Arabidopsis thaliana: one gene and its partner. The protein of the gene in region 1 purifies or fractionates together with the protein of each later gene. This does not show direct contact. Each region holds a gene or a part of one and is shown in the gene's direction. Other genes may lie near its edges.

The links.
Region 2: the proteins of PBS2 (region 1) and CR88 purify together in Arabidopsis thaliana (affinity purification with western blotting, with the first as the bait; one study listed by BioGRID). This does not show direct contact.

The regions. Positions count from the first base shown.
Region 1 is NC_003076.8:20,998,751-21,006,292, reverse strand, and holds PBS2 (cysteine and histidine-rich domain-containing protein RAR1), read left to right. Parts: upstream 1-3,006; 5' UTR 3,007-3,149; coding exon 3,150-3,257; exon of another isoform or gene 3,258-3,968; coding exon 3,969-3,971; intron 3,972-4,070; coding exon 4,071-4,153; intron 4,154-4,252; coding exon 4,253-4,407; intron 4,408-4,502; coding exon 4,503-4,732; intron 4,733-4,818; coding exon 4,819-4,920; 3' UTR 4,921-5,149; downstream 5,150-7,542. Other genes in the region: KEA5 (K+ efflux antiporter 5), read left to right, coding at 1-75, 169-265, 371-424, 658-753, 849-1,037, 1,135-1,212, 1,309-1,353, 1,455-1,550 and 1 more; ACS12 (1-amino-cyclopropane-1-carboxylate synthase 12), read left to right, coding at 5,336-5,677, 5,770-5,904, 6,160-6,320, 6,429-7,278; AT5G51680 (hydroxyproline-rich glycoprotein family protein), read right to left, coding at 7,538-7,542.
Region 2 is NC_003071.7:1,279,093-1,288,445, forward strand, and holds CR88 (Chaperone protein htpG family protein), read left to right. Parts: upstream 1-2,661; 5' UTR 2,662-2,890; coding exon 2,891-3,142; intron 3,143-3,250; coding exon 3,251-3,324; intron 3,325-3,409; coding exon 3,410-3,535; intron 3,536-3,625; coding exon 3,626-3,719; intron 3,720-3,809; coding exon 3,810-3,893; intron 3,894-3,980; coding exon 3,981-4,124; intron 4,125-4,206; coding exon 4,207-4,323; intron 4,324-4,405; coding exon 4,406-4,441; intron 4,442-4,554; coding exon 4,555-4,635; intron 4,636-4,712; coding exon 4,713-4,817; intron 4,818-4,912; coding exon 4,913-5,053; intron 5,054-5,144; coding exon 5,145-5,237; intron 5,238-5,326; coding exon 5,327-5,404; intron 5,405-5,482; coding exon 5,483-5,737; intron 5,738-5,819; coding exon 5,820-5,922; intron 5,923-6,003; coding exon 6,004-6,178; intron 6,179-6,273; coding exon 6,274-6,379; intron 6,380-6,459; coding exon 6,460-6,549; intron 6,550-6,628; coding exon 6,629-6,817; 3' UTR 6,818-7,052; and 1 more. UniProt on the Arabidopsis thaliana protein: Molecular chaperone required for chloroplast biogenesis. Essential for chloroplast biogenesis and maintenance, and thus for embryogenesis. May be involved in the disassembly of VIPP1 for thylakoid membrane formation and/or maintenance.

The DNA.
Region 1 (7,542 bases):
TTTACTATTCGCCTTGCTTCCAGTTTTGGGTGGTAACAGTGGTTTACTACAAGGAATTATATCAATGGGAAAGCTGTAAGTGGTTCCCTAGTAAGAAGTTTGTCCAGGAACCTCTTATATATCCTCATTACCGTCTCTGACATAAAACATTTTCTTCTTCTAATTTAGGCTACTGATATTGTCCATATATCTCACTGTGGCATCTCTATTAACGTGGTCATTTGTACCTCGTTTTCTGAAGCTAATGATTCAATTATCATCTCAAGTACGTTTTAGACGTCATATCTTCATATACACTACTTGTCTATCTTTATTTCTTTCTTAAAGTGGGATCCAAATTATTGCCAATGTCTCTCATTATATAATGCAGACAAATGAACTTTACCAGTTAGCTGCTGTGGCATTCTGCTTACTATCTGCATGGGTAAGTCTAATTCTGTCATTTCTTTGCATACTGGTGCTTGCTTAGCTTTCTGATCCCTTTTGGTGTATTATAACATCTGAGTTAATTGTTACCTGAGCTTGCATCTTACTAATAGACTACAGAAGAAAAAAATGATGATTACAATAGACACTGAAGTATTTAAGTATAATAGCATATTGATGTAATTTCCAATTTTTAACTTAGAGTGTTGGTTCCTCGCAAAACTTTTTCAGTGCAGTGACAAGCTGGGTCTTAGTCTTGAGTTGGGATCATTTGTGGCTGGCGTTATGTTGTCTACGACTGAATTTGCTCAACATACACTAGAGCAGGTATTGATTCTAAACTCAGGTCGCTTTTGCTTTGCGAGTACGTGGTACAAAATGAAGTCTTAAGGTGGTGGAATCTCCCTTACTTTGTGATGTAGGTGGAACCAATTCGTAATCTGTTTGCCGCTCTCTTTCTATCTAGTATCGGGATGCTCATTAATGTTCACTTTCTATGGAACCACGTGGATATCCTTCTAGCGTCGGTGATTCTAGTGATAGTTATTAAGACAGCAATTGCAGCAGTAGTTGTTAAGGCTTTTAGGTACAACATGAGGATATCTTTCCATGTGAGTTTGGTCTCTCTACTTAAGCTTTTGTGAGTTTCTACATATTATACTATTAAAACCAATCACGTAAATTTCTTGTCACAAATGTTATATATAGGTCGGGGTACTGCTTGCTCAGATTGGAGAGTTCGCCTTTGTTCTTCTAAGCCGAGCGTCAAACCTACACGTAATCGAGGTAACACCCTTTTACCCTTGTAGTTGAACACACTCTTTACCATTTTCTTCTTCCTAAACTTTGTGGCTTTGGGATTAATATGAATGACCAATGTAGGGGAAAATGTATCTACTCCTTTTGGGCACAACTGCTCTAAGTCTCGTAAGTTACCTAATATATGCAAACAAGCCTTTTCCATTCTAAGAGAACATACTTAAAATAATATTTAGTTCAAAACTGATTACCTGAAAATGCTGTTACAGGTAACGACTCCGTTGCTATTCAAGTTAATACCGAGTGCAATGAACCTCGGTGTCCTGCTTCGATGGTTCCCTTCTGAGAACAGTTCTCCGAACGAGGTCATTCTCTTTTCCAGATCTATTTATATTTAAGAACTGAGATAAGACATGACATAAAAATGAAAATAGATGTATTGATTATAGGAAACTGACTTGTGAGGTCGTGACTGAGAGTTTTGTTTGTAGAGTTTGCAGGAGAAAGCATCATTGATAGAAGTACATAACAGAACCAAGTGATCTCTCTTTTGTACATTGACTGAAGATTTAAGAAGAAAAAACAGATTTTGATCCGATATACTCAACTAGGAGGCAGAAAAAACATTTGAAACTGACCAAATCAGATCCAAGACTTGCTTTTTGTATTTTCTTAACTCTTTATTTTTTGTAATATCGTATATATTTAGTATTCACTACCTTCTTGTGTAGTTCAAGCGCTTATAGCTTGTTTTACTTGGTGTAAACGTTGTAACGATATTAGCCTTATATGCTGTTGTTTCTTTAATGTTCATCACAAATAAGAATCTCAATAGAAACCACAGAGTTCTATAATTGTGTGCTCAAACTCCACATATCTAAAGTGCGAGCAACAACTAGATGAATTTAGAGGTATAAATCCATTGCAATGCACAACAAAAATAACAAAAAAGAACCCTCCTTAGAAGAACAATGACATCAAAGTATAGAAAAGGATTGAGGTGGAATGAAGTAAGAGGCTGGTGAAATAGGAATTTAGTAGCACATATATGAGGACACGTGGAGCTTAGTGATTGGTTGAAATAAGAAAAGATACGTGGATTCGATTGGTATGAGCTGAAGTTGCTCAAGCTTAAGATCAAGTTGTTCATCGTCTTCTTCATTATGCAAAAATCTGAGAATTGTAAACTTTTCTTCTTCTTCCTTTCTTGTGTGTTTGGGGTTGTTACTCATTGTTAGTTTGAGATACTTCCTTCAATTCACTAATATTATTTATTTACGGGCAAATCTTAATGTGAGATTTTTGCATAGTGAGAAGTGAATCTGCGTTTTATGAACATCGTTTCAATCTATAGTTCGATTTCATTTGTGAGATTGTTGAGTTTCCTGTATCAGCTGGTTAAATAGCAAATCTACCATTCTTATCACCATTACGGAGATTGAATTTTCCGGAGTCATGGCTTTCCACGTAGTAGATGAAGTTTGGGGATAGGCCATACAAGCAAACTTGGAGACGGAAATATATACAAATAGAAAAACAAAATAATTAAGATTAGTTTTGCACAAACTTTGCAAAAACATCAAAATAGGTCCGACATTTAAATCACTTGCTTAGGTCTATAAAATAACACTCCCATCATTCAACATATTTTTCCTCTTGTGGGTTAGACCTACAAATCCGTGGATAAAACTCTTTAAAAACCTGTAATCTGTAACATATTGGCTTATTATCCATCACGCATGCTATTTTATGGACATGAAAATAATGTCCAAGCGGACCAAGCCCGCTCTGCATGGTATTATTTGGGCCGAGGCCCGTTTTACTCATCAGTTTTCATTACCGGTCAAAACTCAAAAGTCAAAATTTTCTAAAAGACGAAAAAGCCCTTTAATTTGATTTCCCAATACTTTTTACTCCTACCTTCTCAATTCGTCCGATTTCTTCACAAATTCACGAGAGAGATAATGGAAGTAGGATCTGCAACGAAGAAGCTTCAGTGCCAACGTATTGGCTGCAACGCCATGTTCACCGATGACGACAATCCTCAAGGTTCTTGTCAATTTCATGCTTCCGTACGTCTTCTTCTCTCCCCATCTTTAATCGATTCTTCTCTTTCTTTTCTAAGTCTTCGATAGTTTCTGATAAACCCATAGAGTAGCTTTTGAATTTGATTTTATGATGTGAGGTTACGAATTTCGATTTTTGATCATGAGAAGATGATTACGCAAGTGTTTAATTAGGTTTTGGATTAGCTGATTGATTACATGTAGATTTCATTTAGTTGTAAGTAAGTAAGCTTTGAACACAGCTTTGATTGTCTAATTGTCAAATTTTAACTAAGTTGTTTGCTTGCAACCTATGAATTCTGTGAGACTGTGAGCTTATTAGAACACTTGATGGAAGAAAGCAAAAGTATATTGCGTAAAATTGAATAATCCAAGTATTAGATCTTTTGCCACCGTTTATGGCTATGTGAGGGAGAGTGTACGTACATGCAGCGACTTTTGAATTGTTTGCTTCCAACTTTTGCCACCGGTTATGGCTATGTGAGGGAGAGAGCTCGTTAAGACTGTCCCTGGAAGTGTAATTAGAACAATTGTGTATAGAAAGAAGGCTTTATCTCAATATTCATCTTAACATTTGGCCTTGTATACTAGTGTTTCTTTCATATTCATCTATTGCTTTGAGCTTTTTATTGTAATTCATCTTCTTTTATTATCTTTTCTTTTTCCGGTGTGGCTGGGGCTGGTCTTTGCACTGACTACTGGTTTTTGTTCAAGCAGGGAGTAAGTCAAATTTACTCTTCAAATACTGTTTTATGTTTTTTTTTTTGTTTCACACTCGCTTGCTCAGAGAATTAAAGCTACCAAAGTTCAAACTTGCAGCCATTTTTTCACGACGGAATGAAAGAGTGGAGCTGCTGCAAGCAAAGAAGTCATGATTTCAGTTTGTTCTTGGAAATTCCAGGGTAACTAATATCCTTGTACCCCCTCATAATAATTCCTCTGTCTTTCATGGTACATATTGTAGTTGATTGCAAACACTGAAGATGTTTCTTGCAATGAAGATGTAAAACAGGTAAACACACAACTGAGAAACCAGTTCTGGCCAAATCGGTTCCAAAACATCCTGTTGCGGCTCCTACTTCATCTCCAGATGCCAATGCAGCAACAAAAGACTCTTGCTCCAGATGCCGGCAAGGCTTCTTCTGCTCAGACCATGGTTTGTATCTTTATTCTCTCGTCTTTAAATTCTCGTTGCACATTGGTTACATGCATGACCTTCTATCTAATTTTGTGTCCTTCTTTACCACACAGGATCCCAACCCAAAGAACAGATCAAGCAGACCCTGAACACACCGGGACAAGCAGAAGAAGAAAAAATTGAACCCTTAGCGCCTCCAGTACAAAAGGCTGTGATAGACATTAATCAACCGCAAGTCTGCAAAAACAAAGGATGTGGCCAAACATTCAAAGAGAGAGACAATCATGAGACTGCATGTAGCCATCATCCAGGTCCTGCGGTCTTCCACGACAGACTGAGAGGGGTAACACGTTCTTTGTTCAATCATTTTGTGACCCTTTTCTTTCACTGTTTGAATTTCTATTGAATATCACTGTTTTCTTTGTGTAGTGGAAATGTTGCGATGTTCACGTGAAGGAGTTCGACGAGTTCATGGAAATACCTCCTTGCACTAAAGGATGGCATAGCAGCAGCCCTGATCCGGCGGTCTGATATATTTTTTTTCCTGAGATTTTCGATTCAAAGATTAATCATCTTTTCTAATTGTGTTTTCATGTTCTTCTTATCATATGGAATTCTATTTTAGATTTGTTATAGAACCTTTCAGTTGACAGATATATGTAATGGTTAAATGCTCATCTTCTGTGTTTTGGATCATGATTATGGCTTTGATTGTTGTTTTCAAAACTTTGAAGATCTTTAAATAATTTCACCAATATTAGAAGGACTATTTAGCAACTTTTAAAACGTAGAGACAAATTGCGAATATGGAAAAATAATTTGCCAATTTATCTCAAAACTTTTGTATTTATTCGACTCTTTTTCAACTTCGTTACTCTCAACGAACGGCTCGAATCTCTCTTCAACGCCGGAGGCAACAACTATCTCCGCGGCGGAGCATTTTCCGATGAGGTTGATAGTACCTCTCCGTGGAGTAATTCAAGGCCGTGGTGGTCTCTTCGTCGGCTCTCTCATTCCTTGTTGTCTCTTCTACTTTCTCCAGCTCTACCTTAAACGACGCCGTCCTCCTCCCTCCGACCCGACGGACTTACCGAGAACTTTTTCACGGACTAATCTCTTCTCTCGCGGGAACTCGATCGGACGAGTTCGAGTCTCCTCCCGAGCAGTTCCTGTAGCTAAACCTTCCGATTCGCCTTATTACATTGGGTTGGAGAGAGTCAAAACGGATCCGTACGATCGGATTACGAACACGGATGGGATTATTCAGCTTGGATTAGCCGAGAGTACGGTGAGATTTTAAAAGTTCTCGATGATTTCTTCTCTTTGTGATTGTTGCGATGAGGTTTAATCTGATGGGGATTGCTTTTGTGAGTTCTGTAGCTGTGCTTTGACTTGCTACAGAGATGGATGTCAGAGAATTTGATGGAGTCAATGATGCAATCTGATGATGGTGAATTTGATATTAGTAGTATCGCCATGTATAAACCTTTTGAAGGATTACTTGAACTCAGAGTGGTAAGTGCATACACCATTCACTTTTTTATTCTTCAAATTTTTTGAGGAAGGATAGCTTTTTGCAGTTATTAGTTAAATATTTGACTGCAAACGTGTATCAGAAATTAGAAGTGGTTTGATTGATATATGTTCTTGTATAGGATCAAAGGAATGTTGATTATATATCAGAAATTTGTGTATTCAAACTTGTGGATTTAGTTGTCCCAACAATGTAGCGAAGGAAATTGAATTTCTTCTATTCCTATCATGTTTCAGGCTTTTGCTGATTTCATGTCACGAATAATGGGAGGTAATGTGTCATTTGATCCCTCAAATATGGTTATAACAGCCGGTGGGACTCCTGCTATTGAAGTATTGGCCTTCTGTTTGGCTGATCATGGAAATGCTTTTCTAATTCCGACGCCATATTATCCAGGGTAATTTTTAGTTTACACTTCTCGACCATTAGTATGTGGTGAAACTTTTTGATTTATACACCAGTCTTCTCTTCCTATGCGATGTACTAAGGAAACTTCATTTTGCAGCTTTGATAGGGATATTAAATTCCGGACAGGAGTGGAGCTTATACCAGTACACTGCCGTAGCTCTGACAATTTTACTGTAACGGTTTCCGCACTGGAACAAGCTTTGAATCAGGCTAGAAAACGAGGAAGCAAGGTTTCTGGCATCCTCTTTTCAAACCCGTCAAATCCTGTTGGAAACATACTATCAAGGGAGACGCTTTGTGATATTTTGAGATTTGCTCAAGAGAAGAACATCCATGTTATTTCTGATGAAATATTTGCGGGTTCTGTTTACGGGGACAAAGAGTTTGTTAGCATGGCTGAGATCGCTGGCTCAGGGGAATTTGATAAGACTAGGGTTCATATCATATATGGCTTGTCAAAAGACCTTTCAATTCCTGGTTTTAGAGCTGGAGTCATCTACTCCTTTCATGAAGACGTAGTAAATGCTGCAAAGAAGCTGATGAGATTTTCATCAGTGCCAGTTCTAGTTCAAAGGATACTTATCTCTCTACTATCTGATGTAAGATTCATTGAGGGATACATGGCAGCACACAGGCAAAGGATCCGGGATAAGCATATTCGGTTTGTGGAAGGTTTGAAACAATTAGGAATACCATGTGCTGAGAGTGGTGGTGGGTTGTATTGTTGGGTAGACATGAGCAGTTTACTGACATCTTACAGTGAGAAAGGAGAACTCGAGTTATTTGAGAAGCTATTGACTGTTGCTAAGATTAATGCCACTCCAGGAACAGCCTGTTATTGTATAGAACCAGGTTGGTTCAGGTGCTGTTTCACCGCTTTAGCTGATGAAGATATCCCAGTGATTATGGAACGAATCAGACAGCTTGCTGAATCATTTAGATCTTGAGGTCGAACCAGAATTTTGGTTAGTGTGGTATTGTTACTTATTGGTAGACATTATTTTGGCAAGTCGTTATAGCTTGAAAGAGAAGAAAGAAATAAACGATATGAATTCCTTGTCCTGCAGCTGAAAGAGTATGGCATTGAATCTCTCATCTATTTTTACGGTACTGCATATACAAGTTTCTTCTCTAAAAGAGAAAACGTCTCCTGAAAATTTGCTGTTTGGGGATACAAATTGTGAGGATCTTTATAAGTGTTTTCTTCTAAA
Region 2 (9,353 bases), on another chromosome or scaffold:
CTCTGACAAAATGAACTTTATAAACAATACATAATTCATCTCTCTTAAATTTCCAAAATCTAAGAGATCCGTTTTATTCTAAACTTTGATTTATAATTTAAGAGATTTAAAGTTTGATCAATTTTTTTTTGTTGCGTCTAAAAATCTCTAAACATCGAAGGATGGAGACTGAATTGTGGTCCGTTAAAAATTGGTATTTGTAAACAAGAAAACAACATTACGTAAATTGTAATTCATAAATTTGCGTGCTTTGTGCTTGTCTACCTCCACACCGGCTTACGATGAACCACACTCTTTTTAATATTCAAGACTTCTATATAATCATTATATCGTATATTCATATATATATATATATATATATTATATAAATAAATATTCTTTTCTGTTTTCTGTGTTACTAACTTTTATTATATAGAGAGAGATATTCAATTATACCCAATACAAGCCTATATAATTATCAAAATTAAGTGGTTTTTTATTTACCAATTTGAATTCTCTAGATATCTTACATACGAGGATGTGCTTTTAGTCAAATGGACTTAACCATTTGATTCCGCCTTCTCCACCGGAATTCGATTTCACTAAGTTGCGTTATCCCGCAATCCCGCATAGTAGGGATTGAGTATTGATCGGGTCTTGTCGATACAAAGATGTAAAAAAAAAAATTTTACATAGTCTTTTTTTTCTGTTCTTATTCTTTTTTTTGGGGGTAAATATCTGTTATTGAACATTATAATTCAAACACTTCCAAAACTTTTTTTACCTTGTTCTGATATTGATGCAGCGTATCTTGAAGACAAATGCTCCTCCGGTATTCATCACGTCCGAGGAGATTGTTTATTGCTTTACTTTTGGGTTTAGTTTCATATGGACTTAATTAATGTATATTTGGGCTTTGAATATTTGATATTAGTTTGCTTATTCTTTAGGCTAGGGTTTCCATTCTTTTTCTCTTATTTTAAGAGATGTAATTCATTATTGTAATTAGTTTTTGATTATTGAATAAACGAGTTTTAAGAGAGCTTGTCTAAAGCCTAGAGAGGAGGACTCTCAACCCTAAAAGCTTGTGTTCAAGCCCTGCAAGGAGGATTTGCAAAACCTCATCGATATCGTTATCGATCTCGACCTTATCTCTATTGCTTCTTCATCAAGTTTCGGCGTTCTAAACAAAATCCGTTCGTTAATCCGAGTTCTCATAGAGATTTTGTGTTTTCGTCCGTTATTTAGCTTCCGCTCTCCATCAGATATTACTTTTGTTCAGTAGACCATTCATAAATACCTGCCTTGGATCCAAAAATAGGACAAATAAACATCATTTGCATCATTTTATTATTCTTAAAAGAAATTGCAAATTTTTGACCAAATTGCAAATATTTTGTTTTTAGGTTATACCCAATACCCACATACTGTATTATAGTCGTAATAAAAAAAGGAAAAGTTGCAAAATAAGTAGAGGACAGTGAGAAGTTGGTAACTATATATGTTTTGGTTAATTTAGTTATGGGTATGGAGTCTATAACGTATGGTTTCGATATTTCCAATAATTAGCAATCGTGTATCTTCGTTAGCATCAACATTGTTGTATTTTATTTAGTGCACACCTTCTCATAATTTCTAAATCAATAAAATTTTAATATCATTTTATCTTGGTATATGTCACTATGTATGTGGTTATTTTTATGCTTCCATGTTTTTATTTTTTTTGCCATGGAACCATTAGCTTAGGTTGAAAATCATCGATTGTAAACCTATCATGTTTTCATTTTTATGAAATATTAGGTGATCATCCGCGCTACACCACGGTTTTTTCGGATGTTTTTGTATTGTTTAATTTAAATATAATTTTTATTTATCTTATCATTTACTCATGCAATAAGCAATTACATTTAGTATTAAAATATTTTTTTCTAACCACATTCTCAACAATGCATCATACACATAATTTCTAAACAATGTTTATCTTAAACCAATTTAACAGAGGGTAGTGTTGGATTCTATAAACCTAAGAATTTAATGATGGAGCTCCTTACATATTCTTCACCCTCAGTTATTTATTATATAAATATCAATTTAAGAGAATATAAACATCAATTTAAGAGAATATAAACATCAATTTAAGAGAATAACTTAGTTAAATTATTAAGTAATATACTCATACTTTGAGTTTGGATTACCATAAAAATCTTCGAGTATGAGAAAACTATTAAAATGATTTTATTAAAAAATCATGTGATATTAAAATAAATTTAGTAAAAGTACAATTAAATATGTATAATAAAATAATATGTAAAATTAAATATAAATATATCATTAAACTATAGATTTGAAATTGAAGAGATTACATTAATTATTTAATAAACACATGTCAAATGCTAAAGTGATGATGTGTCTATCATATGAAGAGAGTTGGCCAACTTTCATATATATAATTTACGAAAAAAAAAAAAAAAAACAAATATTCAAGATCTCTTTCTTGATATGGGCCAATTTGATACGAAACATTTTCCAGCCATAACCTTTCGTTTTACTTTATACGGGCTATAGGCCCATTATGGGTTAACGTGTAGGCCCAATAAGGTGTTTTTTCAATTTGGTTTGCATTTGGTGTGTGTGTGTGTGTCAGCTACAATTTCTCAAGGAGAGGCGCGTGTAAATCAAACGGATAATCCTACGGTTTTGATGAAATGGCTTCTCGTAGACCTCACAATCTCTAAACATCTCTTCTCTTTATACGCTCTTCTTCTAGAAACCTCTCTTACCTCACTCTCCTTAAACCTTTAATAGGGTTTTTAGGTTACTCTTTGTTCAACTACTACAAACTCTTTTCTCTTTAGAGATTGAGAGATTGTAAAAAAATCTCAAATCTTTTCCTTCACAACTTTCAAATCTAATGGCTCCTGCTTTGAGTAGAAGTCTCTACACATCTCCTTTGACTTCAGTTCCAATCACTCCTGTCTCTTCTCGTCTCTCTCATCTGAGAAGCTCGTTTCTCCCACACGGCGGCGCTTTAAGAACCGGCGTTTCGTGTAGCTGGAATCTCGAAAAGAGATGTAACCGATTCGCCGTGAAGTGTGACGCCGCCGTGGCGGAGAAAGAGACCACTGAAGAAGGGTCAGGTGAGAAGTTTGAGTACCAAGCTGAGGTGGGTTCTCTTTCATATCTCCTAAAGTTTCAATCTTGTTTTCTGGGTATCTCTCAACTTGATGGGGATATAAAGTTTTAAGATTTGATTGTTGAAATCTTATCACAGGTTAGTAGATTGTTGGATTTGATTGTTCATAGCTTATACAGTCACAAGGAGGTGTTTCTCAGGGAGCTTGTAAGGTGAGTCAATTTTGATGGATTGTTTTGGAAATGATTTGTGTGTTTCTGTCAAAATCTGATTTTGAATGTGTCTGTGTATGTTCAGTAATGCAAGTGATGCTTTGGATAAGCTGAGGTTCTTGAGTGTAACAGAGCCTTCTTTGCTTGGAGATGGTGGAGATCTTGAGATTAGGATTAAGCCTGATCCTGATAACGGCACCATCACCATAACGTATGAGAGACTTCTCATTTTTTGTTTTACTTAAGTATTGAAAATTGAATAGAACAGGTTTACTTAGAGAGGTTTGATGCGTATATGCAGTGATACTGGTATTGGAATGACAAAGGAAGAACTTATTGATTGCCTTGGAACTATTGCTCAAAGTGGTACTTCGAAATTCTTGAAGGCTCTAAAGGTTTTTTTTCCATCTCTTTGAAAACCTGTTGCTAGCAAATCTTTGATGTCATGTTTTCGGACTCATTGTTTTATTGCTCTCTTTATTCAGGAAAACAAGGACCTTGGTGCTGACAACGGTTTGATCGGACAGTTTGGTGTTGGGTTTTACTCTGCTTTCTTAGTTGCTGAGAAGGTGAAGACTTTCAACTTTTGTTTTTTAGTGTCTTCTGGTTAATGTATTTCTTACGAGGAATGGACGTACAATTGTCTTTGCTTTCAGGTTGTTGTGTCCACCAAAAGCCCCAAATCTGACAAGCAATATGTTTGGGAATCGGTTGCCGATAGTAGCTCGTATCTGATCAGAGAAGAAACAGACCCTGATAACATTCTACGTCGTGGAACACAAATCACCTTGTATCTGAGGGTACTTTTCTTTATTCATTCATCCTTTCATTTGATGCGTCAGATCTCTTATAGTTTGTTTGACTGCTTATTCCTGGCTGCAGGAGGATGATAAATACGAATTTGCGGAGTCTACAAGGATCAAGAACCTCGTGAAGAATTACTCTCAGTTCGTTGGGTTTCCTATCTATACATGGCAGGAGAAATCAAGGACTATAGAGGTGAGGATGAAAGTTTTGTTTTTGTAATCATATTAGTGTATTCACATTGCTAATATGGTTTAAAATTTGTAACTTGTGGTAGGTCGAAGAGGACGAACCAGTTAAGGAAGGAGAAGAGGTAAAAAAATTATGTTGTTTTAATTGTGTGTATCAACTATCAAACAGTCACAACCAAAAGACTGTTCTAGAATTTTGTTTACTGAGTTGATTTTGTTACTTGTTTGTTTCCAGGGTGAGCCAAAGAAAAAGAAGACCACTAAAACTGAGAAGTATTGGGATTGGGAACTAGCCAACGAGACCAAACCGCTATGGGTAAGCCTTGGAGCTTTAGCCTGCGTTTTGTACTTTTCTTTCAACATGTTTACTGATTATTTTGTGTCTTTGAATAGATGCGCAATTCGAAGGAAGTGGAAAAAGGAGAGTACAATGAGTTCTACAAAAAGGCTTTCAATGAGTTCTTGGATCCACTTGCTCACACACACTTCACAACTGAGGTCTTTATACTTATACACTATACACTATATTTATGTCAATTTATGAATTCTTCAATTGGTGCTTACTAGTCTCTGTATTGTCTTGATTATTAAAGGGTGAGGTTGAGTTCAGGAGCATTTTGTACATCCCTGGGATGGGTCCTCTTAACAATGAAGATGTTACAAACCCGAAAACAAAGAACATTCGTCTCTACGTGAAGCGTGTGTTTATCTCTGACGATTTTGATGGAGAGCTTGTGAGTCTTTTATGGGTTCTTTCTTATGTAGAAATCTCTTTAGATTTGTGGTTCAATTTTTATCTGACTATGTTACCTAATCTGTTTGCAGTTCCCGAGATATCTGAGCTTTGTGAAGGGAGTTGTGGACTCTGATGATCTTCCTCTTAATGTTTCTCGTGAAATTCTCCAAGAAAGCAGAATTGTGAGTGGTGCAACTGTTAGTGATACAAATGTTTATCATATATGAATATCACAAATTGTAACTGTACTATCTTTCGTGATAATGTTCAGGTAAGAATCATGAGAAAGAGGCTCATTAGAAAAACCTTTGACATGATACAAGAAATCTCTGAGAGTGAAAACAAAGAGGTAGGTATCTCATTATCCTAATTTTGTTTTGAGCTCATTTGAAAGCCAGGGATATTCATGTTGTACAAACAATTCTAGGATTACAAGAAATTCTGGGAGAACTTTGGTAGATTCCTTAAATTGGGTTGTATTGAAGACACCGGTAACCACAAGCGTATCACACCGCTACTTAGATTCTTCAGTTCCAAGAATGAAGAGGAATTGACAAGCTTGGATGATTATATCGAGAACATGGGAGAGAACCAAAAGGCGATCTACTACCTCGCAACTGATAGTCTTAAAAGTGCCAAGTCTGCCCCTTTCTTGGAGAAACTAATCCAAAAAGATATCGAGGTATATGCTTCAAGACTTGTTTTTCAACTTCGAGTTTCTGTTTAGATTTGACTTTCTCACCACTTGCTTTTGTTAATTATAGGTTCTATATTTGGTTGAACCAATCGATGAAGTTGCTATTCAGAATTTGCAAACCTACAAAGAAAAGAAATTCGTTGATATCAGTAAAGAAGATTTGGAACTCGGTAAGTATGGTTTAGCACTGCTGACTGCCCGCACATTTCTCTCAACCATTTGTTTGTAACAAAACGTGTCCATTCTCGCAGGAGATGAAGATGAAGTAAAGGACAGGGAAGCGAAACAAGAGTTTAACCTTCTCTGTGACTGGATAAAACAGCAGCTCGGTGACAAAGTTGCAAAAGTCCAAGTCTCAAACCGTTTGAGCTCTTCTCCTTGTGTGCTTGTCTCTGGCAAATTCGGGTGGTCAGCTAATATGGAAAGGTTAGTACTTCAGCAAAAGCTTTATAACCTGAAATCCACATACCATAAAACTTATGTGCTTGTTCATTGACTTATGTGCTTATTCATTGTGAAAGGCTAATGAAGGCACAGGCTCTTGGAGACACTTCAAGCCTGGAGTTCATGAGAGGTAGGAGAATACTAGAGATCAATCCAGATCATCCCATCATCAAAGACTTGAACGTAAGTGTGTGGTATAATATTCTCTCAGAAATCTCTTGTCTCGAAAAAGCCTTATTAATTTTTGTATTCTTTTGGTACAGGCTGCTTGTAAGAATGCACCAGAGAGCACTGAAGCAACAAGAGTGGTCGATCTCTTGTATGACACTGCTATAATATCAAGTGGATTCACTGTAAGAAATCTGAAACCTTTCTTGTTTCCCAGTAAAAGTCTTGGACCATTTTACTCACTTATATGTGTTTGTTGTACAGCCTGATAGCCCGGCCGAGCTCGGGAACAAGATATATGAGATGATGGCAATGGCGGTTGGAGGAAGATGGGGCAGAGTTGAAGAAGAAGAAGAAAGCTCGACTGTGAATGAAGGAGATGACAAAAGCGGAGAAACAGAGGTAGTTGAACCATCTGAAGTGAGGGCAGAGAGTGATCCTTGGCAAGATTGATCCTTTTTTACCTTCTTTTGTTTGCAGTGATTTTTTTTTGACAGAACGCTTTATCTTTCCATTAGCAGTATCATGGGCCTAATGAAAGCCCATAATTAAATCACGCGTGAACGAGATTTATCCAATACAGTATTTGTAGTTTTTTTTTGATAATTAAAATAATTTTAGAGAATTTACACAAAAAAAGCTTTTAACAAAAATATTTACGAATATTTGAAAAATATTTGCATTTGAGTTGTATTAAATATTCTGAATTTACATCCTCTTATTATTAAAAAGAAAATACAAATTGAAAAATAGTCTAATCTGCCATCAATTTTCAATTTTGGATTTTGTACATTATTAATCAAAATCGTCTATGGTAATTTGGTCATCACTCTATATTCCTTAAATACACTATATTTCAAATTTAAATAATATTTCTTAAACACACTATATTCAATACTTATCACCTATTTATTGTTTTTTCAAAGATTTAAAAAAACTAAATATAAAAAATCAATCTAAAATAAACCAAAAATATAGTTATTAATTTTACATATTTTTTATTAAAAATATTATGTTGGCAAACAATATTAAGAGCTCGCGAATTAATTAGTGGAGCGGATTAGAATTTACAATAATTCATAATTATGCATATGGAATAAATTATATTTAAAAATCAATATTCGATATATCAAAATATGGTACAATCACACATTTTCCGGATATTATTTAAACTAATAATCTTAACGGTCCATTAAAACTTTCCAAATCAAAATGATTTCCAAATCAATCATTTGATGGAAAATTTCTTGGTCAAAATTTAAATCAAATACCGACCTGCAATAATGGGTTAGAATTTGTATTTATTTGATAGAGAATGAGTAAAATGGAATTGTTAATGACCTTGGACATATCTAAATTTATAATTACAATACTAATTTGGACGTAACACGAGTTAAACTAAATTATATAATTCTAATACTATTTTGACAACTGTACAAATAAAAAAATCTCCCGCGGTAAACCGCAAGTTTAATCCTAGTATTATTTATTTGGTAATACTTTAGTAGAGCAATTCTGATTTTTACTTGTTTGATGTATAGAAAATGTATAAATATAAGAAAATTCTGGTTACATAAATTTTGGATTTTTATAATGTTGGAACAATCGTTAACCAAACAATTAGAAAAAAAACTAATTAATTTCCGTTGAGATAATTATACTTTCATAAAATAAAAAGGAAATTAAGAAAAAAAAGAAACTTTACTTTTCCTAATAGTAAAATTGTAACACTGTAAAACCATCAAAATCCTATTAGAAAAATAAATTACCTAACTCGCATCCTCTATAAATACAGTAGAAACTCTATAAATTAATAATGTTGGGACCATAAAATTTAATTAATTTATAGTGATATTAATTTATCCTATAAATTAATATTTATTAATTTATAGGATAAAATAATAAATATTAATTTATAGAAATATTTACGTAAAATACAATACTAAAGTCTTTTAAAAATGTTTATTAATTTAGTTTTTCTTATGTTTTGTTGTTTGTATATTCAATTCTGTTAAAAAAATTATTTTTCTCTTGACTTTTTAATTTATTTTTCTACAATATATTGTGTCCGTATATTTACGACGTTAACGTGAGGCTTAATCCAAATTTTCTTTATCCAAATCTTACCAATGATTAAAAAATGTTACAAAACCAAATATGACGGATAAAATGCGCAAAGAGTTACGTGAGTACAAAAGAGATCATACCAACGGTACTCTAAAGAGAGTTGTAATTGTGACTTGAATAAAAGTTTCATATAAAATTAGTGTTAGAATCTATGCTTAGATTTATGATTATTAATTTATGATATTATTGGGACCATATTTTTACATAGGGATTTTTAAAAAATTATCATCTTATTATCTTATCGATTTTGGTTAATTTTTACACGATAAATTATCCATCAGAGCAAATGGGGAAGGCCAAAAATCACAAACAATCCAAAACTTACCGCAGCACTAGTACTAGAGCAGCCACATCAATCATATCCCTAACAGAGGTATAGATTCATGTTAAAATGCATGGGAAATCTCACTGATGCGAAAGAAACAATCTCGACAGACATCCTCCAAACACACGAATCATCACGAGGTGAAACTATAGATAAACAAGAGACCTAGAGTATTACTACAAACATATATAAGTAGAAACGAGAAGAGTCTTGTTAGTTAAGAGGGATTCACCTTCAGGATGGTATATTGGATTCTGGCCCGGGACAAGTCATCTCTATTGTGGTACCATTTTATGGAGAGCTGATTCGATATTAAGATAAATGGAATCAAGATTGGCACTTCTAGTTCTAAGGATTGGATAATCCTCCAAGTTCGAGAAGACAACTGTCTCATCTTCTTGACATATCAATAAATGCTGGCGCAGTAAAGTCCACACCAGAGTCCATTGTCCATATAAGAATGTCATTGAACATTCTCATAGCGGGATTTTTGCCTCGGGAAGGAAGTATATTCTTGCCTTCCACGTCTTGTTACAT